Mytilus edulis: one gene and its partners. The protein of the gene in region 2 purifies or fractionates together with the protein of the main gene of each other region. This does not show direct contact. Links are inferred from orthologs where the notes say so. Each region holds a gene or a part of one and is shown on either strand. Other genes may lie near its edges.

Region 1 (8,007 bases), on a different chromosome or scaffold from region 2:
CTTAAACATAGTTTACATATATAAAATTATCAGCCTGGATACTATGTTAATTATATACAAAAAGCATTCCCCTGCATTAAATTTACCAATCTGATACAGGTAGACAGGCTGCTATTTCACATTCTGACTTATTAAGGTAGAAACACACAGTTAGGAGTGTAGTTTCCAATTTTGACCCTAGTGGATTTTTCAAATATGTTTTTGTACAATAAAATTTATTTTTAGACAGCTGATAACTTATCTAGCCTTCAAAGCTGGGTTATAAGAAGACAAACAGAAATCTTAATTTGAAAGAAGGCAAGTGAAAGGGAAGGTAAAATCTATGAGTATACAGGTAGGTTACATTCAGGATATTTGATTTTGATAACATCACCTTGTTTTCCTTGTACCTGCTGAGATCTGTAATACAATACTCCTTGAACAGTTTGTCATAATACTTCTTGGCGAGTCTCTTCTCCCTGTTGATACAAAAAATATTATTGAGTCTGTGTGTCATATGAACCTTTCAGTATAATCTCAATTAATGTATAGATGCTCTGTGATGTTTTAAAGATGTCAGACAGAATAAGACCAGGATGAGGAATATCATACTTTGGGCAGATGAAGAAAATGCATTGAAACCTGTCGAAACCAAATCTTGCAAACACCAAAAAACCTGGCTTCACCAAGTATGATCTTACGCCAAGTTATATCAAATTATATGTGTTGTGAACCTGATGAATCAGATAATCTGACAAACAGAACAAATCTTAAGTCCAGAACGGGATTGGTTCAGACAGGTTTCACTGTTCTAATAATTTGTAAGATGATTTCCCACATGACAGTTAAAAAGACACTGACTCTAGCATAAAATTGATAGCACAATCCTGTAAAACTTGAGAACCATCATATAAAATGTAGTTTAATGTAGATTCTTATATATGCACCATAATTGTCATATTTACAATGATAACATTAAGGAATATTTACTAGAATATTCAATAGTTTATGGATACACTATGTTAAATACCATGTTTCATCAGGATCATCTTCTTCATTCCATAGGAATCTGTGATGCTCTTTAATAACATCTATGTCTCTTTTATCTTTGGAACTAGAAATATATTTATCATTAAATCAAAACTCCAAATGAAATTTATGCAAATGAAAGATAGAGGGGGAAAAAAAATTCTTTTAACAAAGATGTAACCAATGTTCAAATCAAAATGATATCATAAATTTCACTTCATTTACATACAATTTTATATTCTAAAATGTAATTTGTGTTTAAATTGAGATATGACTAGGTTCAAATTTAAGTTTAAATTACATAGACATTTACCTTTGTAGCACCAAAAGCAAAATATGTTCAGAAATAATACTTTTTGTTTAATAAGTCTTTATAATAATGAGAACACATTTGAAGTGTCATTAAGAACAACTTTGGCAAACTTTCAAGAGTTGTCTCCCCTTCTTTTAGTAAGGATGTTTTTTTAATCTTTTAGCAAAATAACGAGTTGTAAGATTTATACAATTAATGCATACCTGTCTCTTTTAAAATCTGCCTTTGATCCACTGTAGTAAAGTATGTAGTCGTTAATAAACTTCTTATGACGTGCAAACTGATTCAATGTCAAGGAAAGTAAATAATGTTCATGAATATTCAAAATTAGTCTACATCAAAATATTATTTTTTGGTATTTCAAGAAAAATAATTTTAACATTTATGTTATATTTTAAATGTTATTTCAAAACAGTCTTCCCATGATATCAACCAATAGACTCATCTTCCTTTCAATTTAATCTACTAAATATGCTATGCCTTCACTTTGCATTTGTTGTTTGTAAATAAGTATGTCTTTAAACATCTTCTATTTTCATTCTATACCAACATAAAAGGATACAGCATCCATACTAAGAACATGAAATCTTTGGTTTTTCCATTCTTCTCTGAAATCAGAATAAAATGAAGTTCACAATGCAACATTTAAAAACAAATATAGATTAATGAATATCATATCTGCACAGTGCACTTAGTCTAAAATTATTCATTCTTGAGAGAAAAAATAATATTCCTCAATTTTTGTAAATGTGGAATTTAAGACCCGAAATATGATTGATGTGATCCCATAAAACAGATAATTCTAACAGTCTTAATTTGATGACGTCTAATATATATTATCAAATTGTGAATAAATCTCTACATTTCAATTTTCAGAGAGTAAACTACTTCTTACCAATTTCAAACAACTCACTAGCCAAAAACTAAGACATTACTTCAACTGATTTCTTTTATTATAATTTCCTTTTTGTAACAAATTATAAAAAAAAAGGTAAGCATTTTTTTCTGTTGAAATATAGCTTTGCTATGTTTACAAAATTATTTATGTAAACCAATACCAGTCATTTATAAGACATGTATTACCAAAGTAAAACTTAGTAGTCATGATTTAGCTATAGAATGTGGTCGCTATTCTGCAATTCCAAGAAGCAATAGACTATGTAGTTTTTGTAAAAATGACATTGAAGATGAGATGCATTTATTTTAAAATGTCCTACTTATCAAGGTCTTAGATCTTATTTAATAAAACCATATTATTGGAGAAAACCTTCTATGTATAAATATATATATTAATGAGTTCTAATAATCTTAGAGAATTATGTTATATGGGTAAATTTATATTTCGTGCACAAAAATTAAGATCTAACATGATGTAATATGTTTCACACATTACCTTCTGCTATCTATGTATACTTTGTGTAGTTTATATGTTGTATGCCTATAGTTGTTATGACTTTGGTAAATAAAGATATAATATAAGATTTTCCTGAAATTGCTGTAAGCTAGGTATGGAAATATTCTACTGTGAGACTTTTGCTTTGAGATCTACACCATCTTTTTCTGTGTAGACATATTCACTAAGTAGATTGTAAGATAAGTATAGGTTTTTGGAGGATGTTCTTTCTTAATTTAATTTTTTGAATTTTAAAAAAAAATATTAATATTAAACTATGACATTAAACATACTTGCTGTATTCTTCTTCGACATGTCTTTTGTTTGTTATCTTTTCTGATGCTTTCTTCTTTGGTGGCACTAAATCATTCCTCTTCTCTCTGAAGAATAAAATCAAATATGTCCCTTACTGCTCACAGAATCATAGATTTAAATTTATATCATCTTTGAGCATAAGGTAATAACATGATATCATTTTTAAAGTAAAGACAAACACCATTTCAACAATACATGTATCATAATGATATCAACATGTCATCACAGAGGTAAAATAGGAAAACTAGACAATAGTTACCTTCTCCTGTCTGCTTCTGAGTCATATTCAAATTCTGAATCAAGACCACCTCCTTGGTGAATCTAAAATTTAAAAACAAATATCAGTCAGGGGACTTACTGAAATAAATGATTTTTAAATCACTTATTTGAGTAGCAAATTCAAGGTTTTGTCACAAATTGGGATTTTGTAGTTTTTTCAAAATTTTAAACACATAGATTTAAATAATATCTTTAATTAGTAAAATTTAAAAAAAAAAAGAACTTTTTGCTTCTTTTAAGTAGCAAGGTTTATGCCTTTGATGCTATCATGTAGCTGAAAATTCTATTTTAGTTGAAAAATGCTATAATAATGGCTTTACATAATGAACTGACACTTTCTTAAAAGATTTTCCCCAGCAGTGGGAGTATTTTTCCTGTGAAGTTCAAGGTTTCATCTTTCAGATTATGTAATAAAAGAGGGACGAAAGATACCAAAGGGACAGTCAAACTCATAAATCTAAAACAAACTGACAACGCCATGGCTAAAAATGAAAAAGACAAACAGAAAAAAAGTGATTTTTATGTCATTATCCTTGATTCAGTACAAGGTCATCACCTGAAATGACCTGGTCATCCTAGACAACACAGATGTTGGTTCTGATAAGTTTAGAAACATAATTAGTCCCTGGATCATTAGTATTCTATATTTAAAGCTACAATAAAATTAAATCACTTCTTCTAGTGATTTATTTGTACTACTTAAATAGGTGATTATTGAAGAAAGACAACTCTAACTTCCAACCTTTATGGAAATAATGTTACTTGAATCGGTGATTTAGAAAATCACTTATTTAAGTAAGTCCCCTGACTGAATATACTTAAATGTAATCTCAAAGAATAAGACTTAATTAAGTTACATCAAATATCTACTTACATAAGCATCATGATGGATGCCACATGTGGAGAAAGATCTGCTTACCATTCCAAAGCATTTGAGGTGGGTTTTTTTTAAATTTTACTAATTCCTCAGTTTTTGGAAAGGTTCAGGTTGCTTATTCTTTGGTTTATTATACTGTTACATTGTATATTGTGTTTGTAAATTGAAAAACAAAGGATGAGAGGGAATTAATCCACATAAAAAAAGTATTTACACACATAAAATAAACAACTGCACTTTTGTTGTTGTACTTCATGTGGGTCTCATTTGGGTCTAAGCATGACGCGGAATTGTCAATTTTTGTAAGCGCGACATGTGAAAGTGAAATTATTGTGCCGTGAAGACGGGAAATGAAGTCTAGCAGGACACAGGAAATAACGACAATTGTGTAAACAGGATACGGGAATCTGACAAAACAGTAAGCGGACCCGGGATCAGAACCCCCCACCTCCAATGAGACCCCCCTTCATCCTGATGTTACAGTAGCTTGTTTTGTATATTTTATTGGTTTTTTTTAATGGTGTTTACCTTTGCAAGATCAAAAGATTCTGCCATATTAAGACATCAAATACAGACGGTATATTTCAAAACATAAGCAAGAATAGAATATTCATATAATATTGTTCTGCACTTTCACTTTTGTTTCAAAACAGGATATGCTTTGGACCATCTAATTTTGAATAGGGGTAACTGTGTCAAAATATAATATTTATCTAAATAAGTCTCTCTTTTTCCTGCGGTTTATATATGTTAAAATACATTGTAACAAACAAATAAAGAAGTAATTTGTAAACTAAGTCTAACTGTTCATTGTGAACAATACAAAAATGACAAATCCTACACCAACTTAAAACATTCACACCCATGAAATAGAACAATCCAATATGTCTGCGCCCAGGATTTGTGTTCCAGGTAAACATGCTCAAATTCAACTGATTCCTGTCATATTTTACAGTAAAGATTAAAATTTTTACGCACAAAAGCATAAGCAATTAATTTTCAAGTGAAGACATATCATTTTATGTGATTTAATATGAGGCAGGCATTACCTGGGAATGGGGACGAAGTCTATGGATTTTTTTTCGTCCCCATATATAAATGGCACTGGCTACGGTTACATGGAAATGTAACAATAAAAAAAATATTATTGTTACATCGGAGACAAAATTTCTTACAGCTATAGGAACGAACTCTGAAAAAAATGATATATCAAAAGCAAGGTTTGCTAACTGCTAAGTTGGATACTGAAATTTGAGGTAAACCTAAAATCCGTAATGGACGGCAGTGCGATCATATTGAAAGACGACATGAAACTATACCACATGCTTTCAACCAAAATATTGGATGAGGAAGTATTTCTCACCAGAAGCATGGCAAACATTAAAGGTTGCCTTATCTTCTAAAAGGAATATTGCAGAATAGAATTGCACGGTATGCAATACAGACGTTCGTAATGCGGCATCACTGGGAATCCGGGTCCGTTCGCGCCCATTCACGTTCGCACCCACTCATGTTCGCCCCCATTCACTTTCGCACTCTACATGTTCGCACCCAAAGTCCGTTCGCACCCTACATGTTCGCGCCCAATTTTAACTTTGTAATCAAGTAGTATTCTTATAAGTATTATTGTTTTCATTGTCTCAAAATAAAGTGATACAGCATTTTTTTGTGTTGAATAAATCTTTATCATGTTTTGGTTAGTGTATTACTATAACTTTGTTTCATTGACTTGTTTCAAAATGAAGTGAGATTCTGACTACGTTTTTTTTTTAGTCTTGAATAAATTTTATCATGTTTTGGTTATAATAGTGTATTGCTATATTTTATTGTTTCATTGTTTCAGATTAAAGGGACCAAGCTGTTAAAAACAATTATCTTTTGTGTTTTTCATTTATAATCTTCAATCTTTTACTCATACCAAGCTATAAATACATTCAGTATTTACACGAAAGCAATTAAAAACAACAATGATTATTCAACTGGAATTTGAATTAAAATTGGGCGCGAACGTGTAGAGTGCGAACGGACCTTGGGTGCGAACGTGCGAGGTGCGAACGTGTAGGGTGCGAAAGTATATTGGGCGCGAACGGACCTGATACCCATCACTGGTGTGTGATGGCTGCTTGGAGTGGATTCATCAAAAATGCATCGGACTTAAACATGCTCCAAAACCACTTACTCAGGATATGTAGAAACTGTCATTGTAAATACAAAAATAAATAAATTGTATGTAATAATTGTATGTATTGTAAATATAAAATAAACGTCATCAATTTTTATAAATTAGTACATCCATCTTACAAGTCCCATCGTACATTGCTGTTTCAAGTTCATGTAACAATAACGCTATGTAACCGTAGCCTCAATATTTATTGTTACATTCGTAATTAATCAGGTCCTTACCCGACCATGCATTCCGGTATTTAGTCTCCAATGTAACAATAATATTTTTATACCCCCGCTTTAAAAAAGGGGGGGTATACTGTTTTACCTCTGACTGTCCGTCCGTCCGTCAGTCAGTCCGTCCCATGAAACTTTCGTCACATTTTTCTCAGGAACTACACATCCACCCTTTCTGTAATTTGGTATCAACATTTATATAAGTCAGCTATACAGTGTGATGCGTTTTCAGATTCATCACTCGACAACTTCCTGTTTACCGAACACTTGTATGATTTTACACATGATAACCAAGTTGAAAATTTTCGTCACATTTTTCTCAGGAACTACAATACAAGGATTTCTGAAATTTGGTTTCAGGATTTATATAAGTCAGCTATACCGTGTGATGCGTTTTCAGATTCATCACTCGACAACTTCCTGTTTACCGAACACTTGTATGATACACATGATAACCAAGTTAAAACTTTTCGTCACATTTTTCTCAGGAACTACAATACAAGGATTTCTGAAATTTGGTTTCAGGATTTTTATAAGTCAGCTATACCGTGTGATGCGTTTTCAGATTCATCACTCGACAACTTCCTGTTTACCGAACACTTGCATATTTTTACACTATTAATATTATCCACTTGCGGCGGGGTATCATCAGTGAGCAGTAGCTCGCAGTTTCACTTGTTATTATTGTTACATTTCCATGTAACCGTAGCCAGTGCCTATATAAATCAGACTAAATCAAATACACAGTATGGCAGTGTAACCGGAGAGCACGAATTTCATTACAAAATTGCTTGTCTCCACCGGGACTCGAACCCGGTACCTCTGTGTTACAAGGCAGCGCGCTAACCCACTGGGCTAAAGAAGTACTTCCTTAGCTCAACCGCTTATGGCTGACTAGTTAAGTACCTACTTAAGTTTTTCTAAAGGAAGCAATCCTGTCACAGCAGTAACAAATTCTAAATCTAAATTGTCTCTATAAATTTTTGAAAATCATTTCTGCTATTGTCAGAATATTTTATGATCAATATCTGAAGTAAATGCCAAAATGAAGATACCCACATCAAACCCGTGCTGATTCATAGATAAGAATAACTGTTGGGATAGCCAATACACACAATTTCTAGTATTTTTATGCTCGCTCCATTTACTGGGCATTATGTTTTCTGGTCTGTGTGTTAGTCCGTTTGTCCGTCCCACTTCAGGTTAAAGTTTTTGGTCCAGGTACTTCTTGATGAAGTTGAAATCCAATTTATGGGCATTATGTTTCTGGTCTGTGCGTCTGTTCATTTATTCGATCATCCGTCCCACTTCAGGTTAAAGTTTTTGGTCGAGGTAGTTTTTGATGAAGTTGAAGTCCAATCAACTTGAAACTTGCTACACATGTTCCCTATGATATGATCTTTCTAACTTTAATGCCAAATT
Region 2 (7,304 bases):
TTGTTGAATTCATTACAGAATGTGTAGAAATGTTTGTCTGGATTTGCTATGAAGTCTTTGACTCTCTTGTAAGCAGGAGCACTTCTGTGTCGAATCTGTTAAAGATTTACATTGTAGGTAAATTATTAATTTATTAAACTTAAAAGTAAAATAACAATGTTTATATACATACGTATATCTTTACAACTATGTGTACTAAAACTTTTACAAAACAATATATTTGTAAATATATGCACTTAAGGTGGTAGACCTTTGTTCAGGGAGACAACTCTTTAAATCAGTTATGTGTTTGTTAAAGTCAAGTTTCATCAATGTTTTTTAAGCACTTACCTGAAACAGATTGGAAATAATCTATGTAACCTAGAAGCTTAGAATATATTTATGAAAATGGTTGACACAAACGTACTGATGATTTTAATAGTTATTTCCCTTAACCTAGGTCTACCTCCTTAATTACATCATTTAACATGTACTGTGGATTCATCATGATTCCGGGCTTACCAAATATCGTGGATTTCATTGGTAAAAGTGAACTGTAAATTTGAATATACATTGAATCCATTTTAAATTTTGAAAAGGCTTGAATGCAGACTTTGGCAAAACCATGATTTCAAACATCCACATGAAACCTACTATTTTTTGTCAATACAAGAAAAGAGAGGAGGGAGATACTGAAAATATAAGAATAATGTAGGTTGTCCTGTAAGAACCTTCAATCTGAATTTGAATTTTGTAGTGCTGAAATGGTGGATTAAAAAAGTAATTTCTGAACAACCCTCCACACAAAAGCAAAAATATTGACATTATGGAAAAGGCCTTTATTTATTATATATTATTATTGTAACATTTAACAAGTCTAATACACCCTACCTCCTCTAAAACTGTCTGTAGAACTATCACATTCTGAATTGAGGGATCTTCAACTACATCAATCTGAAAAATTAAAAAAAAACTGGTTTAAAAAAGAAAAATTCAAGACATATGTAATCTTATATAAATGTTTCTTAAGGGTTCATCCCTTATTGTCAACCATTTTTCAAAACATGCAAAATCCCAACCGAAAGGGCGTGTGACTTTGTGTAAAAAAATAGCTAAAAAAATGCTAAATTTTTTTCTAAAATAATATATATACTTGTATGTACATGTATAATATGTGTTCTATGAAGACATACTGTTTTTACATCATATGGCATACATAAATATAACTATATCAAAACAATTTCTTGGGACCATAAAATTTGAATGAAGTGAAAGGCAAGCACCTGAAAAATCACTTGACAAGAAAAACAAACATTCACAAAACATTCACAAACAAACTGGTAAAAAGAAATGATAAGAGCTCATTCCTTAACACATATCTCTAAAGTGGCAATTGTTTCAGTATATATTTCAATTGGAATTGATCAATTGAGATGTCCACTGTAATAAATATCAAAACAAAAAGAGCATTTATCCATTTGATAGCTTTAAATAATCATGGGAATAACTGTTTCCACAATACTCAATACCTAATTTAACAGGTTGAAGAGAGATCACTCTTAAATATATGCTAACTTAGGGAGCTACCATTTGATTTTTATGGGGGGGGCTAGGATGAAAAATTTTGTCCTGCATTTTTTTTTGGTTGTAATCTCTGTCCTGCCTTTTTATTTTTTATTCTATTCGATCCTGCCTTCTTTTTTTTTAGTTTATCCTGACTTTTTTTTTACCTAAATTGTCATCCTGACTTTTTTTTTTGCAAGTGTCTCATCCTGCATTCTTTTTTTTATACTCAAAATTCCTGTCCTGCCTATTTTTTTCAAATTTCATCCTAGCCCCCCAAAGTTTTAATTAGTGACCTCTAGTATTATTATTAGATGGTGCTAAAGAAAATAGGCTCATCCAGTTGATGTCATCTATACCATGCAACACTTTGAAGACTTGTATCTTATCATTCCTACATGTATCCCTAGGCTACGATATTCCAAGGTGAACGTAGTCTTTTCATAATTAAGATGATATATATTTTTTACTAATTTTGATGCCCTTCTTTGTAAAAATTCCAGTTTGCGGATGTCTTTTAAAGGTACAGTTACCAGAGACATGTCACATATTCTAACAGCGGATGCACTCTTGATTTATATGGGGACAAAGTCCCCAATAACAGTAGAAAAATCAATAAAAAAAAAAAAAAAAAAAAAAAAAAATTCACGCACCTGCACAGAAATCTACAATGTACTTCCTTTCTCCGGTCTCCTTTGTATGAAACTTTGAGTAAAATATATACTTATCAGTCTAGTATAAAATAGGAAGGAACGCAATACCAATTTCATTTTTAATAATTCCTTGATATGAAAAAACATTACCTGATGATAGCGTTTCTTTTTTTACATTGCATATGACGTCATAACTTAAATAACGTCACAACTGAAATCAATAACAACAGAACCAAAATAGGAAACGTTACAGTATTTCCGTTTCTCTTTTTTAACAAATATTTAAGTTACAAAAAAAATAATTCATACAGACTTCGTCCCCATTTACAGGTAATGCTGCCTCATATTAAATAGTAAGAAACATATCTTGATCCATGTAATCAACATCCTAAACACTTAAACAGGTATGTGCCATAATGCATTGTAATGTGGGTGTAACTACCCTGGATTTCAATAATAAAAACAAAGAACCTGTAAATTTTATACCTGATGAAAAACTACATTGGTGTCCAAGATAAGATAGTGTGACTTCTTGCATAATTTGCTTTTGTTGACAGGTTTGCTTTCCAAAGGTTTGACATCGTTTTTGTCGCAGATTGTACAACTCTGACATCCACATGTAATGTCATCACGGAGATAATGTTCTCGCACAATCTTTATAATACTCCCTTTCTTTGTCTTCTTGATAAAAGTCTTTGTTGTTAACATTTTCTGCGATTTTAAAATACAAAAATAAAATTCACATGCGTTTATTTTTACCGGAAATGATAGTTCTTTGTACCTCCAACATCGAAGAGTGTCTTTCGGTATAACAAATGACACAAGCTAAACACTTGGAAAAACAAAGACAGCTAAGTTCCTTAATGAAATGAGACATAAAGACTCATTTGAATGCAGTTTACGAATAACTGGTGCAAAACATAACAAAGCATTGATGTTTCTTAATAACATGGTTATTTGTTAACAAATTTGGTTAGGAAATTCTTTTTTTTTGATTTAGCTGATTATGAAAACAGAACATCGGGTACAGTCTGATTAAGTAGAGACATATATATGTGTATATGTGACTTGTCTCTGGATTAAGGGAGCTGGGATCAGATTAAAACGGACATAAACATAACAAAGTACATTTATAATCATATACACGATATGTCAATAGATAAAACCTGGCAAACCTTCAAGAACGTAGTACACTCGGGCAACAATTGACACTGTGACCAATGTACCATCTAAAATGATAAAGAAAAAGCACTCTGTTCCACGGTTAAACAGAAAACTACGCAAAATGCTAAAAAGTAAAGCAAGGTTGCACAAACATGCTAGAAAAACTTGAAGCTACAAAGAATATAAACAATTCCAAAAAGACTGCAAACGCCAATTTAGAAAAGCACTGTGAATGGGGCTATATATTAATGACATCATCAATGCAGGTTCTTCTTCTTCTTCTTCCAGGTAAGGAACCGAATTCAAATTTTGAATGTATGAGGTCCCGCGAAAACTAACGCAATGTCGGACAACACAGAAAGTTTTCTCTTGGCTATTTACAGGATAAAACGTTCTCTATATATATACAATTAAAACTATTTACAGGATGTTACTGTCTAAATTTTAGCAGAGCATGCCTTCAGGGCAGCTCTGAATCCATCAACTGTGTCAGCTGATGTTGCTGATGTTGGAAGTTGGTTCCAGTCTCTAATGGTCCTTGGAAAAAATGATTGTCCGAAGGCGTCTGTTGTGGCCCTTTCTTGGAAGAAGCGGTTTTTACCTCTGGTCCGGCTATCGTTTGGTGTCAGATATTGGTGCCTATCTATGTCTATCAGATCATGTTGGATTTTGAACAGCATGCATAGCCTATTTTGTTTCCTGCGGTCTTCGAGGCTTTCCCATTTTAAAGATGTTACCATTTTTGTTACACAGCCAGGTGTGCGGTCTGTGTAGTTGTTGTTTACGAATCTAGCTGCTCTTTTCTGTACTTGTTCGATTGCTTTTATTTTAGCCTGTTTCGTAGGATCCCATACTGTGCAAGCATACTCAACTGAAGGTCTTACTATTGTTGAATATGCTGCTGCTTTGACCGGTTTAGTACAATCCTTTAAGTTACGTCGTATGAAGCCTAGTGTTTTGTTTCCTTTTCCCACTATGTTGTCGATGTGTCTGTCCCAGGTTAAATTGTTGCTGATAGTAACTCCCAGGTACTTACTAGCTTCAACGGTGTCCAGTGTGTGTCCGTGTAATTTGTAATTAGTTGGTATTACCGGACGGTTCTTGGGATGTATTCTAATTACAATGCATTTTTTTGCATTGAAGCTCATTTGCCACTTATCTTCCCATTCCTCTAATGATGTCAGATCTTTCTGTAGTAGGTCACTTTCTGCTTGGTTAAAAGTTTTTAGTTTAGGTTTAGTACCTAGCATCTCCGCCATCTTTAAAAAAATAATTGACACAGGCACTCTCCCTGAAGATTGGTCAAGTGCAAACATAGCTCCAGATTTTAAGAAGGGGGCCACGGTCCACGCAGCTGAGAATTACAGACCAGTTTCACTGACCTGTGTAATATGTAAGCTTTTGGAACACATCATCTGTAAACACCTTGCACAACACAGCTCTTAGTCACAACCACAAGGGGGGGGGGGGGGGGTCACTTCCTATTATTGGGTATACGGGGATGTGCCAAAAATATGAGTCATAATTTTGCGAGATTTTATATAAAAATGACCCTCCTTTTTAATGACATCTTATATTAAAATGCATTAATTTTACGTTTGATAACTGTATATTGATTATGGGTATGATTTACATATCATATATAAATATGCTATTGAGAATCTTACAGAACAGCTATTCCGAAACGATTTTAACTTATAAACAAGACTTTTATAATTTTATCATATGATTTTCATAATATGTAATATTGTATATAAGTATAGATCATTCTTTCTTAAATATTTATATAACTATAGGTACTGAATTTCAGTGAATGTTGTATTAAAATGGGTATGTTTTTGAGGCAAAAATGGCACACCCCTACCAAAAAAATATCGAAGTTACCCCCTCCTCCCCCTCCCGTGGTCACAACAGAAGACCTACTAAAGAGTTTCGACAGTGGCATTCAACTCGATATGGCTATACTCGACTTTTCAAAGACTTTTGATACTGTGCCACATGAAAAACTACTGGCTAAATTAAACAGTTACGGAATAGATGGTAATCTTAACAAATGGTTAGCAGCATTCCTGCAAAAACTATCAATTGCGGGTTGTCGTAGAAGGTTAGTACTCAGCATATGCTCACGTAGACTCTGGCGTACCACAAGGCACAGTACTAGGACCGCTGATTTTCCTATGCCACATCAACGACCTCCTGGAAAGCGTAAAATCTCAAGTTCGTTTATTTGCAGACGACTGCCTACTCTATCGAGAGATTAACAACACAAAAGACCATCAAACTCTCCAAGAAGATCTAAAAGCTCTGGAAGTATGGGCACTAAATGAAAGTTAACGCAAAAAAATCTATATAATGAGCTTCAAACAAAAATCAACACACTTCTACCAACTAGACAACACATACTAGAACAGGTACAAACAAATCCTTACCTAGGTCTTAACATATCTGATGACCTAAAATGGACCAGTCACATAGGGAAAACAACCAGCAAGGCAAGCTGTACACTAGGGTTCCTGAGAAGAAACCTGCGTCAGTGCCCCTAAGAGTGCAAAAAACTTGCCTACTTAGCCATGGTAAGATCCGTACTAGAAAACGGTGCTGTCATCTGGGACCCATTCACTATCAGGGAAATAGAAAAAATAGAAAGTATACAGAAAAGAGGAGCACGTTTCATCTTGCACGATTATAAATCCAGAGACACCGGGTACGTCACAAATACTATGCTTTCTAAGCTAAAACTACCACCTCTCCAAGAACGAAGGAAACATCAGAGGCTGACTTTGTTCTACAAAGTGTTTGAGGGATTGGTGACGGCTATTGATCCAACTAATTACCTGCAAAAGACCAGAAACAAACGCCAATATAAAAAAGAAGATGTGGTATGATTGCCAATGAGACAACTGTCCACAAGAGACCAAACTCACACCGACATTAACAACTATAGGTCACCGTACGGCCTTCAACAATGAGCAAAGCCCATACCGCAAAGTCAGCTTTAAAAGACCCCGATAAGACAATGTAAAACAATTCAAACGAGAAAACTAACGGCCTTATTTATATAAAAAAAAAGTCAAGGCAAAAACCTTTAGTGACTTTCAATACACAAACATCGTGGAAAGACAAGAAACCAGAAATAACAGATCGATCGTACAATTTAATAGACTGCAAAACAGACATTCAAAAGAACTCTTTTTTACCAAAAACAATAGTGGAGTGGAACCATCTGGACGAGGAAATTGCATGTCAAAAGACAGTTGAGGGATTCATGGCTGCCCTCCAACGGTTGGACTAACCAACCCGCTTTCCTTCCAGTGCGCATATATCCGCGATCGGATCCTGCACTGTGTAACATACAGATACAGAGCTACCATTTGATTTTAAGGGGGGAGGGGGTAACCATTTTGTTCTGCATTTTATTAAGTTGTAATCTCTATCCTACTTTTTTTATTTTTCACTCTATTCGGTTCTGCCTTTTTATTAGTTAATCGGATTAAATCCTGATTTTTTTTTACATAAATTGTCATCCAGCCTTTTGTTTTGCCAAGTTGCTCATCCTGTCTTGATTTTTACTGATCTTTACTAAAAACTCCTGTCCTGCATTTTTTTCCAAATTTGATACTGATACTAGCCCCTCCAAAAAAAAATGGTAGCTCCCTAAATCCAGCCCCACTTACGCAAGTCTGTGACCACCATCTGTATCCGTGTATGTGTACGTTGAAGACACCAATTCTAGCTTTTACTCAACGGGAGAGAGACACCTATCACGAACGGTGTTGGAGAGCAGCATTGAAGCTCTCAACGGTATCTGCGCATACAATACGGTCTTCCAGTTGGTTCCAGTGAAGTATGCTCTTGGCAAAGAAAGAGTTCTTGTATGTATCGGTGTTGCTAGGAATAGTTTCTAGTGCCTTCGTATTGTTCTTCACTGAATTTATCACTACATAG
Region 3 (7,415 bases), about 51 Mb from region 2:
TCGATATTTGCAATATTTTGATTCTGGTCAATTATTTCTTGCTTAACAATATTTGACTTATTTAAGTCGTATTTTGTCTTGCATTAAAGGGAGACAAATCCTAAAACTTACAAATTTAGACCTCTATGAGTCAAATGCAGATTCAGACTTATTTATGTCTGAGCTCTGACTGATTATTTTAAAAACCTCCACTAATTTTAACATCCCCGAACAGTGAAATTTTTATCGCGAACAGTAGAATTTTATTACATAATCTGAAAGATGAAACCTTGAACACACAGGAAAAATACTCCCACTGCTGGGAAAAATCTTTGAAGAAAGTATCAATTCATTATGTAAAGCCATTATTATAGCATTTTTTCAACTAAAATAGAATTTTCAGCTACATGATAGCATCAAAGGCATAACCCTTGCTACTTAAAAGAAGCAAAAAGTTCATTTTTTTTCAATTTTAATAATTAAAAGATATTATTTAACACCTATGTGTTTAAAAATTTGAAAAAACTACAAAATCCTAATTAGTGACAAAACTTCGAATTTGCTACTCAAATAAGTGATTTAAAAATCACTTATTTCAGTAAGTCCCCTGACTGATAATGATGGGAGAAGACTTTATAAGTTTGATTAACTTGTGTCTCATCCCTTTTGAACATTTACGCAAATAAAATATGTTTAAACTAAACTGATAATGATTACTACCCTCATTCTGGTCCAAATAATTATGACGTCTTGGAAGGGTATTCTAAACTTTTGCTTTGACCCCTTCCTGCAAGGTAAGGCGTCAAAGAAAAAAATATAATAGCCTGTCAAGATGTCAAATAATTATTTGAACTACCCTGTGGGTCTCATTGAGGTATAAGCGTGACACTGGATTGCCGATTTTTTGTAAGCGTGACACGTGAAAATCAAACTATTGTCTCAGGAAAACGGGAAATGAGGTTTAGCGAGACCTGGGAAATGACAAGAAAATGAGAATTGCCTACATACATAGTGTAAGCAGGATACGGAAATCTGACAAAACAGTAAGCGGGAACCGGGATCGGAGCCCCCAATGAGACCCCCTACCCTCATTCAAGACGTCATACTCTGTCCTGTTAATCATGCTGTGAGAGCTATGTTAACTTTTGAAACGACACTGAAAATAATGGATCATTTATAAATAATCAATTATTGTACAATACAAATCCAGGCAGTCTATCTATCTATCTTCCCGTCAAGGAGTGGACTCATATTTGAGTGTATATACTCCAGCGTATATGTCAGTGATATATGTCAATTTATTATACGACCTCCAGCACGGCTTCAGACACTCTAGATCATGTGAAACACAACTTCTATCTTTTATACAAGAACTGGCTTCAAATTCAGACAATAACACCCAAACAGACCTTGTAATTATGGACTTTGCCAAAGCCTTTGACAAAGTCCCACATCAAAGACTCTTATACAAACTACACTTCTATGGAATACAAAATGAAACACTTAACTGGATCTCTGCCTTTTTATCAAACCGCACACAAACAGTTGTCCTGGATGGAGAGTCATCAGACGTTGCTCCAGTTACTTCTGGTGTCCCACAGGGAACAGTTCTGGGTCCAGTTCTATTCCTGGTTTACATAAACGACCTACCAGAATATTTGAAAACCAGTAAACTCAGACTGTTCGCCGACGACAGCATCATTTACAAAAGCATCAAATCTAAGGAAGATTGTGATAGTCTTCAGGAAGATCTTGATGCTGCTGCAAAGTGGGAAGAAGACTGGCTGATGGCTTTCCATCCAGACAAATGTACAGTTCTCACAGCCTCAAATAAGAAAAATACAATTAAAAAAGACTACATTCTCCACAGTCATACACTAGAATCTGTCTCCGCAGCTAAATATCTTGGTATAACACTACAATCTGACCTAAAATGAAACCAGCACACAAACAACATCATTGGCAATGCAAATAAAAGTCTAGGATTTCTAAAAAGAAATCTAAAAACATCAATCACAAACATTAAGTCCCAGGCATACCTAGCACTTGTCCGACCAAAACTAGAATATGCTTGTTCGGTTTGGAACCCTCATACTGCTGAACAATGCAATAAACTTGAGATGGTTCAACGTAGGGCAGCTAGGTATGCCTGAAATCGTTACCACAACACCAGTAGCGTTACAGACATGCTCAATACCTTAAATTGGCCTACCTTACAACAACGCAGACTTAAAACTAGACTTATAATGTTCTATAAAATTGTTCACCATATTGTCGCCATACCATCAGATTTACTCATACCAACAGACAATAGAACCAGACAATTCCATCCACAAACTTACAGACACATACTTACATTTAAAGACTGTTACAAATATTCCTTTTTTCCGTTTACTATTACACAATGGAATGTACTACCTCCAAAGGTAGTACTTTCTCCGACCTTAAATATTTTTAGAGAACAGTTGACACCTACTGTTCTCTACAATATAAAACAGTAAACCTAGTAGTTATGTAAATAGTTTTAACCACATGTCATGTTAGTATTTGTTTATTTTTGGCACTTTTCTTTTGTAAATATCTATTTATTATTATCCTACGCATGCGCAGCAGTTAGTAATCATCAAAAATCTGATGGATAACTGGATACCATAAGAAGAAGAAGAATAAGAAGATATATGTGTAGTTCGAATAATTATAACATTCTGGCAAGGCTGTTTTATTTTTTTTCTGAGACGCCTTCGTGTCGTAGGAAGGCGTCCCAGAACAAAAATAAAACAGCCTTGCCAGAATGTCATAATTATTTCCACTATGATGATATGTGTTGCCAGTTGGTTTTTTTTCAGAAATATTTTTCGTACAAAGAATTAAATAGTGAATAGAACTTATAAAACCTGAATGCCATGTATAATAAACACTTTCTCAGCATCACTCAACAAAGCATCAACCATGATTTTATCATAAAACTAATATCAACAGGGAAGCATGGTAAGAATAAATAAACCGGAAGTGTGAAGAATGCGAAAAACGTCATCAACAATTGGAAAATGTCGGCGCCCTGTGCCTGGTGATCCCAAACAAATCTCACATTAAAATTCCTTCTTTATAGAATGGATGACCCTCTGTAAGACTTATAAGCAAAACTTTTCGTAGTAGAATACACTATTTTCCTCGAAACGAACAGAAAAAGCATACATGAGAGAACAAAAACATGTTTATTCACCTGAAATTCCTCATTGAATCAGATTATCCAAAAAGATGTGATATTTCTTTCACATACATTTTGTTCCACTGATAGACTAAATGAAGCTGAAACAATGATAATTGAAAGTAGAAATTCTATTAATAAAATGGCTTTTTGCAAAGGCAGTGGCTATTTTACCGGCACCGGCAAAATAGCAAATTTGTTTAGCCGGCTCTGAATAAAATTGTTCATTGATCATGTTGATGTGATTAGTCATGGTAGTAGAGAATGAAAAAATCTTCATAATAATTTAAAATCTTTTTATCACAATATCAAGCACTAAAAATACAGTACAATCAAAAATAAAATATTGAAGATGTTCATATAAATAAATAATTTATAACTTAACCCTTCCAACGCTATACACGGCATATGCCGCGATGACGTACGCCGTTCGCCACTGCTATTCGCGGCATATGCCGCGATGAAAAAGGATTTTTCATAAGGACTCTTAAACCATTCGGTTTTCATTCGGGTTCTCTCTAATTTTTCCTCGTTTGAATCTAGGATATGCAAGGTCTCATTTGCGCTTGAAATCCCGACAATTTTTATAGTAAAATCATGCAGTAGAAGGAAAATAGAAGGAAAATAAAAACAAATATTTTGACAAATGCAAATGGCGGAAATCGGAAACGAAGCTGTAAATATGGAAAAATTTCAGCATTTCCTTGGCGAAACTTACAACAAGGATTAGTTAAAAGGTTTCTTGTTATCTCAATGTGTTTATTACATAAAATTCGTGTGGGAAATATGATTTGATCGATCATTACGAGACGTAGAAAAAGGGGGGAAAACGGAGGTTGACTGAAATTTTTTTTGACGGAGCTATTTATTTGTGCCACGATTACATAAAACGTTATGTATGGTACAATACGCTACGAAATCGGGCAACTGGTGTCTTCTTTACAATATGGCAGATAAAACAACAAAATAAATGAAGACTAAAAGTAGTTTTTATTCAAAATTCAACACAAATGTAATAAATTACACCTTTTACCTGTTAATTACCTGAAAACGCAGGTAACCTGATAAAAATTTCAGTAAAATAATTGCCTAACATTACAGTTCATGCTCTCCTGAGCATTTTTCATGCAATAACTTTCTCTGTATCTCATATAATAAAAAAGATACAGCAGTCTGAAAAGGAAAATACTGTTCTAATGAATGTACTAAAAAAAAATGCAGCAGCAGCAGCCATTTTTCTATTTTTTTGTGTAGCGTTGAAAGGGTTAATAATATTGATTAAAAGCATGACAACACCATCAAAAGATCAAAGAACTATATGGACCATAATTTGCTATTGGGCTCGTTTCCTATAACGATAGAAAAGTGATAAAAATGTGTATTACTGTAAGAAAAGTTGTAACTACATCTAAAGATGCCTTTTTTTTTATCAACATACAAGTGTATGCTACTCTTCCCTAGAAAAAAAATTGAAATTAACAAATTTCAAAGATTATACGACCGTATTTGTGTGTCGTTTCTCGCGTTACTTTTCGCTTCTGAAGTGCATAACGCTGACTGATTTATAGATAATCGTCACCGGCAAATTCGTAACTTTTGCTTTCAAATAATAAAGAACATCGACCAATAAGAATAGTCAAAAGAAAATGCCGAGAACTATATAAGTATTTCTGTAGCAGGTGTAAGAACACTAGCGTTACTTTGGTTTCCCATTACGCAACGCAAATTTTAGATGATGTTATCTGCTTTGTTGTAATAGAATTCTTTATAACAATATGCAAATATGAACTCTCGCGAGATGTTCAAACAGGTAAATCAGAGATGATTTACATTCTAGTTTTGTTCTTCGTAATAATTAAGTTAGAAAAGGACGTTATCGTTATGCGTTACATTTCACACGAAACAGAAGTCCAGTTATTTCCTTTTTTTTTTATTAAAATTGTTTTTGTCGTTAAGTTCTAATCATTTCCGGTCATATGTGAAACATGTGACTAACATGTGATCACGCCCTTATGGCCGGATATATGAAATACTATAGGTCTAAACATTGTTTTGTTTCCAACGGGATGTTAGCAAACATAATCTGTAGACTTGTTTCGTCTTGTTTAAAAAAGGAAAATACAATTTTCAAAGAGATTGCGCCAGGGGTCTATTATTTTTCCTATGTGCATAATGTTACATACGATCTTGTGTGAAAATAATGCCCAAAGACTTGACAAAATCGATTTCAGATTTGACAGACGTTATAACACACTCCGTTTCCGGATAACGATGTAAAGAGTCCTTGGAAAATTCAATCGACATTACGTCTCTTATCATTGTGCAGATGGTCGTTGGATTGATTTTGCTTCAGCAGTAAATATTACTGGATATTTTAGGTGAATAAAGATAATTTAATAAAAAATACATGTTAATATACCGTTACACTTGGAATGTACAAAGTTTATATCTTTGTCACAATTTTTAATTATTTTTTTTTTATTCATGTTCTGCAAACACTTTTCAGAAACGCAATAAACTTGTCAAAGGAGAAGTAAATATTACCATGCATGACTTGAAAGGAAGTACTTTATTGATTTTAGCCCACTAAAGTAGGTTAAAATGTGGAAAGCATGTAGATGGTGTACAGGTCACAAATATCACATGGTGCCTATTTTAAAGATTTTAATTACAAGTTAAAAAAAATTTCTTTACTGGATTTAAAGAATTTTACATTGCCAATGATTTGGAATAAATTGTATATAACTGAAATTTCAAAACCATCTATAAATACATTTTTTTGGCTAAAACATCAAGATACAACGATTATGGTATCCTGTATCAATGAAGAAAATATGGAAATTTCTGAATAAATTGTACTAATTGTTTTCAAAACAAGCACATATTTAGGAGTTTTATAATACTGTTACATTTAAGATGGATTTTCAGAAAAAGTATACTGTTCAGATTATTTTAAGCAGATTTTGCAATAAAATAAAACTAAAAAAATGCTTTCGGTTTCTTATGGTTTCCTGTTGCGTTTAAAAAAATCTTTAATTTAACATTGAAAATAGATTTTGAATATTAACATGAATCAAGTAACACTAGTAATGGTGTTCATTTATGTCTTTTGAAATATATTGTGCAAAATAAAGAAAATAAAGATTGGTTTCCTGTTTGGTTTCCTGTCACGTAAACGGTGAATCAAAATGTCATGAATGTATTAATTTTTTCTTGAAAAACCCAATTGTTCCATTAATACTATTCTGACACCAACACAACCCACAGAATAAAAGTTAAAGTTTTAGAACTTATAAAAAAGGATACAAAAGGAAACCAAAGGCCGAATACCAAATTATGGTCCATATATAGCTAGCTGCAAACTGCAGTTCATCCGAGGAACTCTGTTTAGTCTTTAAGACCAACTTAAACCAGAGTGTGATAAATCACATCCCGCACAAAACCCCTTAACGAAAAGACAGCCTGCCTTGGCTCACACCATCAGTATGCAAACTTAAAAAACGCCTTGACAGATTGTACAAAAACATAGAAAGTCAGCTGAACTTGCAATAACATCCAAACTTAAAGAAACAAAGAGAATGGTACAAAGAGAGCTCCGTCGTTCAAATTTTCTACCAAGGACACATACAATGAATACGAGTTTAAATCCAGATGCAATATGCCAGGTCAATATCCCTTAGCAGAGGAACTCAACATCACAGAAAATGGTTTACTCAAACTTCTGAAAAATAATAAATCCAAATACAGCAGCTGGACCAGATAATATAAAACCTAAACTACTCAACGAACTGGCTACAGAAATAGCCCCAATCCGAACGTAACACCAGTATTCATTAATAGAGTACGCAAGTCCAGTATGGGACCCATACTTTAAAACAAAAATAGATTGTCTAGAAATGGTCCAGAGACGAGCAGCAAGAAATGTGTCCAACAAACACCATAATCACTCAAGTGTCAGCAAAATGAGTGAGCACCTGCAGGAATGACCATCTCTGCATGGGAAAAAGGAGAAAAGACGCTAGACTAACCATGTTCTATAAAATAGAATACAACAAAGTGGCTGTAGCTAAGGAAGGTCGTCTTATGCTACCAACACCACTGTTGAGGAACATGCACAACAAAAGTTTCCAAATTCCAGTTGTTTGATACAAATTTCAAAAGGACACATGATTTAACATTTGCAATTGTTACAAAACAAATTCTTAACCTTTAGAAGTTGTTTTAATCT
Region 4 (7,837 bases), on a different chromosome or scaffold from region 2:
GAAATGAAATAGTATGACGAAACATACGAAATTGAAGTTATTTAGCTGTACGAGGAATGCATTCTAAAATCAGTCAAGTCGGTACTGTGGACGACAAGTGTGGTAAACTTATAGACATATTTGACAATAAAGCGTTGGAATCTCGTGTACACATGCACATGTTGTATTATAAATAAAATGTGTCTTAAGATTATTTTCAATGATTGCATTTTAGTTCCATTGATTTCTTTAAACCAATTATGAAATGTCAAAACTCTCCTATATTATATACATATTATCTTATCACTTGCATTAAACCAAAAATATAAAATTTTGAAAAGTTCAAATTGGTCAGAACTTCATTTTATTTTTTTATGAATTTGGATTTTGCTATTTTTGAAACACACGTACAATACATTTTGAGTGATATATATGGTTGAAATAAATAAATAATACTAAAGCATCACCGTATGTGATCAATTCAAACAGAAGTGGCTTGGGCTCTTCAAAACTAAGCAAAAGACTTCGATTACTGTACCTTCTGTTTAGATAAATATTTTAAAATTTCAGAATGAGTAATCATAAAACTGGAGTTGAACTTTAAAATGTTACTGTAAAGAACGGGGGGAAAAGTGTTATTTGTGTTAACTAGACATTTAGGATGAATCAAATTACATTATCATAGGCGGATCCAGGGGGCTCGGGGGGGGGGGGGAGCCCCCCTCTTTCGTGGGAAAAATTTGGTTGATTATATAAGGAATCACTGACACGTGACTGGAGAGGGGCCCCTTACATCAGTCAGCGGTCCCCCTTACAAAAAGTTCTGGATCTGCCACTGATTATTAATATTGTTCAGAGACGAAACATATTACAAGAAATCGTTTCAGCAGATGACCAGACATAACACTCTTTCCTGAAACTATGTCTTCTGCCAAAAAGACAGATCTCATAGATGTATTTAAGTTTATACGAGCGAGTGTGTCCTGGTGATGAACTAAAATGTATTTTGTGTATATGTAGTTTGTAGTCATATTTTATGTAATTAATGTGATGTCCTCTTTGTACCTTATATGTATTTGATGATGAGAATAAAGATAAAAAAAAATATAATGTGACTTTTTTTCACATTATTCGCAAACTCATTGCATATATATCTTAGGACAAAAAAGGGGGTAACTCCAGCACAATTAATCAATACGTCTTATAACTTTTCCAGTGAATGATCCAGAGGGGGCTTCGGGGGTTGGAACCCCCTTTTTTTAATGCATTTAAATAGGGACATGCAGTTGGAACCCCTTTTTATCCTGGGTTGTGAACTCCCCTTCAAAAAATTGCTAGATCCGCCCCTGATTTTTTTATATAAGAATAAGAAGATGTGGTATGCTTTCCAATGAGAATAATCTCCACCAGAGACCAAATGACCATGCAGTCATTAACAACTATATAAATCGCCGTACGTCTTTCAACAATGAGTAAAAACCATGCAGTTATAAAAGGCCCGAAATGACAAATAAATTTTGTAAAACAATCCAAACGAGAAAACTACCGGATTTATGTACAAAATAATGAACGAAAAACAAATAAGATATACAGCTTCAAACGACACCCACTGAATTACAGGCTCTGGCTTGGAATAAGCATATACCGGATGCGAATGGTTAAACCACGTCCACTTGTATTTTTGTCCATCTGATGAGTTAAGCCTTTTTCAACTGATTGTTATAGTTCGTTCTTATGTTGTACTGTTATACCACTGTCCCAGGTTAGGGAAGGGTTAGGATCCCGCTAACATGTTTAACTCCGCCACATTCTGTATGTATTTGACTGTCCGAAGTCAGTAGCCTATAATTCAGTGGTTGTCGTTTGTTGATGTGTTACATATTTGTTTTTCGTTTATTTTTTGTACATAAATTAGGCCGTTCATTTTCTCATTTGAATTGTTTATATTTGTCATTTCGGGGCCTTTTATAGCTGATTATGCGGTATTGGCTTTGCTCATTGTTGAAGCCGTACGGTGACCTATTGTTGTTAATTTCTGTGTCATTTGGTATATTGTGGAGAGTTGTCTCATTGGCTCATTGTCTAATTGCATGCAATGTATATGCTAAATGAACAGAAAAAAAACCTATAAAAGTTCCAGGCAATTGATGAGTATTATCAAACGAATTTCCGTCAATTCTCTTTGTTTGGAGCGTATGATTGTGTGTATATAGTACTTTACTTGTAAGGTTTCTCGACCTGTAGTAATATGTAATAAGAATTGACTGAATTTTGGTTGCTTATCGTCCAGTGGCAAATATTAGATGCATGAGATCAAATTAACAGTAAACGTTTATGTGCATCAATAAACGTGAAGAACCGTGATTGAAGTTGCGAGGCCTTTCATAGCTAACTGTACGGTAATTATCATTTCGTACGGATGTAAAAAAAAAACCGAAGATGCATAACAGTGGATTACATAAAGTTGAGAATAGAAACGGGGAATGTGTCTTAGAGACAAAAACCCGACAAAAGAGCAGAAAACAGCCCACGGCCAACAATGTCTTCAACACAGCGAATATTTGCCTCTAGACGTCGGGCAACCAACAATCAATCAATCAACACAGCGAGAAATCTCAACCCCTGTTGTCGGGATTCAGCTGGACTTTAGATAGACGCAGAAGGACTGTTACTAAATGTCGTCTCAATGAACCTGACCGTGTTATACACAGATGCACAAAGTACAAAAGTGCAACAGATTGAGATAAACTGTTTCTTTCATCTTTTGCACTGACATGCAAATATAAACACCAATTTGATAATTGTGTGTAAATAGTAAAGATGAAAATATTTGATTAAGATAATAGTGATACACACGGATCATGCGAAGGTATTGGATACAATTAATAAGACTAATATATTCAGTAATATAAACAATCAGAAAACTTTCTGGAAAGATGTAATTCAATAAAAGTTTTAATTTAACTTAGTATGAAAAAAGTAAAATCACAAAAATACTGAACTTAGAGGAAGATCAATTGGGAAAGTCCATAATCACATGGCAAAATCAAATAACAAAACGCATCAAAAACGAATGGACAAGACATGTCATATTCCTGACTTGGTACAGGCATTTTCAAATGTAGAAAATGGTGGATTAAACCTGGTTCTATAGCGCTAACCCTCTCACTTTAATGACAGTCTCATCAATTTCCGATATTTTTACATTGATGCGTTAAATAAACAGACATATAAAGAGATATAAGTGACTCCATCACTAAGACAAACCCAATGCATTTAGTATGTGTCTGTAATGAACATGTAATTAAATTAGGCCGTTAGTTTTTTTCTCATTTGAATTGTTTTACATTTGTCTCTTTTATAGCTTATGGTTGAAGGCTGTACGAAGACATATAGTTCCATATGTCTGTGCTATTTTGGTCTTTTGTGGAAAGGTGCCTTATTGACAATCATACCTCATTTTTTTTAAATTATTTATACTAGTTTGTTGTTATTTTAAGAGACTGCAATACTATGTTGGTTTGATAAGCTGAGATTTATTTTGTGTTTTCATGGTATTGTGTTGCTGTCGCATTGACGATACCTATATTATTGAGTGAACGTCGCTTTTTATTCATTTTCAGCACATCTTCACTAAAATAATAAAAAGCTGCCAGAGAGAGCTATACGGATCGATTTGACCTAAACGATAGGCATGAAAAACCTTAAACAAAATGGCAGCAATAAAAATGCCTGGTGAAAATGCAAGATATCTTTTTTTTAAATGAATATAGATATAAGATACCTAGTTCTTTGTTGACATCCTTATCTTGAACTACATTAATTGAAGCTATGTCGAAATATTTAAAGTGTAACGACGGGAGGTGTGCACCAAACGCAGCATGTGCGGCTGACAAGTAAAACATGTAAAAACAACATTCAAAATACTATAACAGGTAAACAAGTGATCATATATAGAATATGGAGAGAAATTGCCCATCTAGTTACGAATTTAATAAAGATGAGAAAAAATGAAAACAACACGTTATACGTTATATATTTATTTCTGTATATATAAATAGGTACGAAAAATTATAAACGGACAATTTTAAATATGTTATAAATCATGTAGGTATCGAAGTACTGACTACTGAACTGATGATATCCTCTGGGACTGATAGTCCACTAGCAGAGGTATAATGACTCAAAGAATTAAAACCAATACGTGAATTGTCCTTCTGACAAGCGGTTAAACCAGAGACATATATCACAGCCAGGGTTTTTTTTTTTTTTTTGGGGGGGGGGGGGGGGGGGGCGGACCTACCACTCAGTCTTCTTAAATTCTATCAGATTTTTTTTTTTAAAGAAGTAAATATTCCTATGATATTTTATTTTTTGTTCACTTATCATTTGCCATATTTTTTGCATTATATGAGATACATATAAAAAGCGTTAACACATAAAATTATTCGAAATCATTGACGTTACAACGTTAAAGAATCATGAAAATAAAAATAAAAGGGGGGTCCTTCCAGAAACATCTGTCTGACTTTGAAATAAACATAGGGAATATGATTGATAGATGAAAAACAATTACATTGTGTATAAGTCAGTACTAGTCTATACATCTTTTATCAACGATACACACATTCGATCAGGATACACTTTTGATGGCTCGTAATTCATATCATATCTGTACCGATATGTAGAGTATTTTAGACATTGATTTAGGTTCGTAAAATAAATGATAATAAAAAGAATATCTGCAATACTTCTAAAAATATCATTTGATTGAAATAGAAATATTTATTTTTGTTTTAAATTTGTTCTGTGGAATGCTTTTTGATCATTTTTTTTCTGAAAAGTTCGAAAATAATAAACAACAACAGAACACGTGCAAAATGTCAGAAGAAAAACAAACTGAAACTGAAACAGAAGAGTTTCTGCCTGGTTTCGACAGCCTAACTAACTACACACAGGTCATTTGTGTTTAAACCTCAATGAAGCAAATGCTTCTACTCATGTGTATCCTTCAGGCTTGTTATTTTAATTTGAGAGAGGTGTATGGAGTTGGCATCATTTGCTAATTATAGTAATTTTTAAGGTTCATGTGGACCCTTTGGCTAAAATTGCCGTATTTTCACATCAAAATTTACTCTAAGTACAGACAAACCTGAGTATCTGTAAAAGTTCAAAGGCATAGAAGCTGCCTCCTGGTGTGAGGCAGTAGGATGTTCTTGCTTTGTTGGAAGACCCAGTGGTGACTGTGTTGTTTTCTTCTTTTTATTCAAGTTGTGTTTGATATATTCCCTGATTCCATTCTCAGTATTTATTGATGCATCTAAATGGTCCAATTCATATGAAAAGATACCCAACATGACTTAACCGGATACATATTGAACAAATCAAAATATTAAGTTGCATTTATAAAAAAAAATATGACAACACTATGGAAAATCCTTGTAAAAGTAACAGACCCTCACCTATATTAAAAACCAACAGATGTGGTCTCAGGTGCTCGAGGACGGTTAGCAAATCAATGCAGGATACTGTACCTTCAGAAAATGGCATAGCCTGAACATGTTGAACACAAAACAAATGTAGAATCCCAAAAGTCTTGAAATCAGGTGCTATCACAACAAATTATCCTACATGTATATAATTACTTTGAGTGCTTTCATATATTTGATTTATAAATTATATATTTTCAGCAAGCACTAAAGACAGCTTTACAAGCTACCAAGTGTTCCAATGATTTACCAGCAACAGGAGATGACTTTGATTATTACTCCAGTTATCAAGGTGTCAGAGAAGTGTTGGATATTGAAGGCAACAGGATTCTTAACATGTAATTATAGATACATACATGTACATGTAGATAGATATAAGTCGATGTAGTATGAGTGCTAATGAGACGGTTCGTCATCATGGTCACAATTTGTAAAAGTAAACCATTATAGGTCAAAAGTACAGTAATCAACACAAACTAACTATTTTTAGCTCACCTGGCCCTTAGTGAGCTTTTCCCATCACTTGGCGTCCGTCGTCGTTAACTTTTACAAAAATCTTCTTCTCTGAAACTACTGGGCCAAATTAAACCAAACTTGGCCACAATCATCATTGGGGTATCTAGTTTAAAAAATGTGTGGCGTGACCCGGCCAACCAACCAAGATGGCCACCATGGCTAAAAATAGAACATAGGGGTAAAATGCAGTTTTTGGCTTATTACTCAAAAACCAAAGCATTTAGAGCAAATCTGAAATGGGGTAAAATTGTTTATCAGGTCAAGATCTATCTGCCCTCAAATTTTCAGATGAATCCGACAACCCGTTATTGGGTTGCTGCCCCTGAACTGGTAATTTTAGGGAATTTTTGCTGTTTTTGGCTATTATCTTGAATATTATTATAGATAGAGATAAACTGTAAACAGCAATAATGTTCAGCAAAGTAAGATTTACAAATAAGTCAACATGACCAAAATGGTCAGTTGACCCCTTTAGGAGTTATTGACCTTTATAGTCAATTTTTAACCATTTTTCGTAAATCTAAGTTATCTTTTACAAAAATCTTCTCCTCTGAAACTACTGGGCCAAATTAAACCAAACTTGGCCACAACCATCTTTGGGATATCTAGTTTAAAAAATGTGTGGCGTGTTTCGGCCAACCAACCAAGATGGCCGCCATGGCTAAAAATAGAACATGGGGGTAAAATGCAGTTTTTGGCTTATAACTCAAAAACCAAAGCATTTAGAGCAAATCTGACATCTGGTTAAAGTGTTTATCAGGTCAAGATCTATCTGTCCTGAAATTTTCAGATGAATCAGACAACCTGTTGTTGGGTTGCTGCCCCTGAATTGGTAATTTTAATGAAATTTTGCTGTTTTTGGTTATTATCTTGAATATTATTATAGATAGAGATAAACTGTATACAGCAATAACGTTCAGCAAAATAAGATCTACAAATAAGTTAACATGACCAAAATAGTCAATTGACCCCTTAAGGAGTTATTGCCCTTTACAGTTAATTTTTAACATTTTTCATAAATTTTTGTAAATTTTTTGAAAATATTTTCCACTGAAATTACTGGGCCAAGTTCATTATAGATAGAGATAATTGTAGCAATAAGAATGCTCAGTAAAGTAAGATCTACAAACACATCACTATCACCAAAACACAATTATGTCATGAATTTATCCGTGTCCATTGTTTAATATGCACAAGACCAAGGTGAGCGACACAGGCTCTTTAGAGCCTCTAGTTAAATCTGTATTAAATTAAAAAAACAAGAAACACTTATGAATCACATCAGTATGTATATATGATTTAAGACATTTAGGGTTGTACTACTACTTTATATTATCATGATTATATGACAAATGACATATTAATGTAATTCATAAACTTTTATGTTTTATGATTTTTAACCGGATTTTTGTGACAAAAATGTCGGTTATTGATTTGGGGATGTACGGCGGGCGGGCGGGCGGGAATCAAATGTTGTCCGTGCATTAACTCATGAACCGTTCAACCGAAGCTTTTAAAATTTTAATATGTTGTTACTGACAACTAAATGAAGGTCAAGTTCAATAATGGCGATTTTGACTTTTACCGTTCAGGAGTTATGGTTCTTGAAAGATTGAAAAATGGAGTTTCCAGTCGTGTTCGTGCATTAACTCATGAACCGTTCAACCAAAGCTTTTAAAATTTTAATATGTTGTTACTGACAACTAAATGAAGGTCAAGTTCAATAATGGCGAGTTTGACTTTTACCGTTCAGGAGTTATGGTTCTTGAAAGATTGAAAAATGGAGTTTCCAGTCGTGTCCGTGCATTAACTCATGAACCGTTCAACCAAAGCTTTTAAAATTTTAATATGTT

What was found.
Region 1: the proteins of exosome complex exonuclease RRP44-like (region 2) and exosome complex component CSL4-like purify together in Drosophila melanogaster (affinity purification with western blotting; 3 studies listed by BioGRID, with this or other methods). This does not show direct contact. The link is inferred for Mytilus edulis from reciprocal best matches to the Drosophila melanogaster genes Dis3 and Csl4.
Region 3: the proteins of exosome complex exonuclease RRP44-like (region 2) and exosome complex component RRP42-like purify together in Drosophila melanogaster (affinity purification with western blotting; 3 studies listed by BioGRID, with this or other methods). This does not show direct contact. The link is inferred for Mytilus edulis from reciprocal best matches to the Drosophila melanogaster genes Dis3 and Rrp42.
Region 4: the proteins of exosome complex exonuclease RRP44-like (region 2) and exosome complex component 10-like purify together in Drosophila melanogaster (affinity purification with western blotting; 3 studies listed by BioGRID, with this or other methods). This does not show direct contact. The link is inferred for Mytilus edulis from reciprocal best matches to the Drosophila melanogaster genes Dis3 and Rrp6.

What each region holds. Positions count from the first base shown.
Region 1 is NC_092347.1:86,019,444-86,027,450, forward strand, and holds the start of exosome complex component CSL4-like, read left to right. Parts: upstream 1-4,991; 5' UTR 4,992-5,069; coding exon 5,070-5,097; intron 5,098-8,007. Other genes in the region: protein FRA10AC1 homolog, read right to left, coding at 374-458, 1,010-1,093, 1,525-1,601, 1,884-1,929, 3,008-3,094, 3,289-3,350, 4,714-4,740.
Region 2 is NC_092348.1:60,052,992-60,060,295, forward strand, and holds the start of exosome complex exonuclease RRP44-like, read right to left. Parts: upstream 3,008-7,304; 5' UTR 2,904-3,007; coding exon 2,682-2,903; intron 934-2,681; coding exon 871-933; intron 96-870; coding exon 1-95.
Region 3 is NC_092348.1:9,393,493-9,400,907, forward strand, and holds the start of exosome complex component RRP42-like, read right to left. Parts: upstream 3,017-7,415; 5' UTR 2,931-3,016; coding exon 2,874-2,930; intron 1-2,873. Other genes in the region: palmitoyltransferase ZDHHC3-like, read left to right, coding at 3,090-3,103.
Region 4 is NC_092356.1:21,512,301-21,520,137, reverse strand, and holds the start of exosome complex component 10-like, read left to right. Parts: upstream 1-4,814; 5' UTR 4,815-4,859; coding exon 4,860-4,937; intron 4,938-5,669; coding exon 5,670-5,806; intron 5,807-7,837. UniProt on the Drosophila melanogaster protein: Catalytic component of the RNA exosome complex which has 3'->5' exoribonuclease activity and participates in a multitude of cellular RNA processing and degradation events.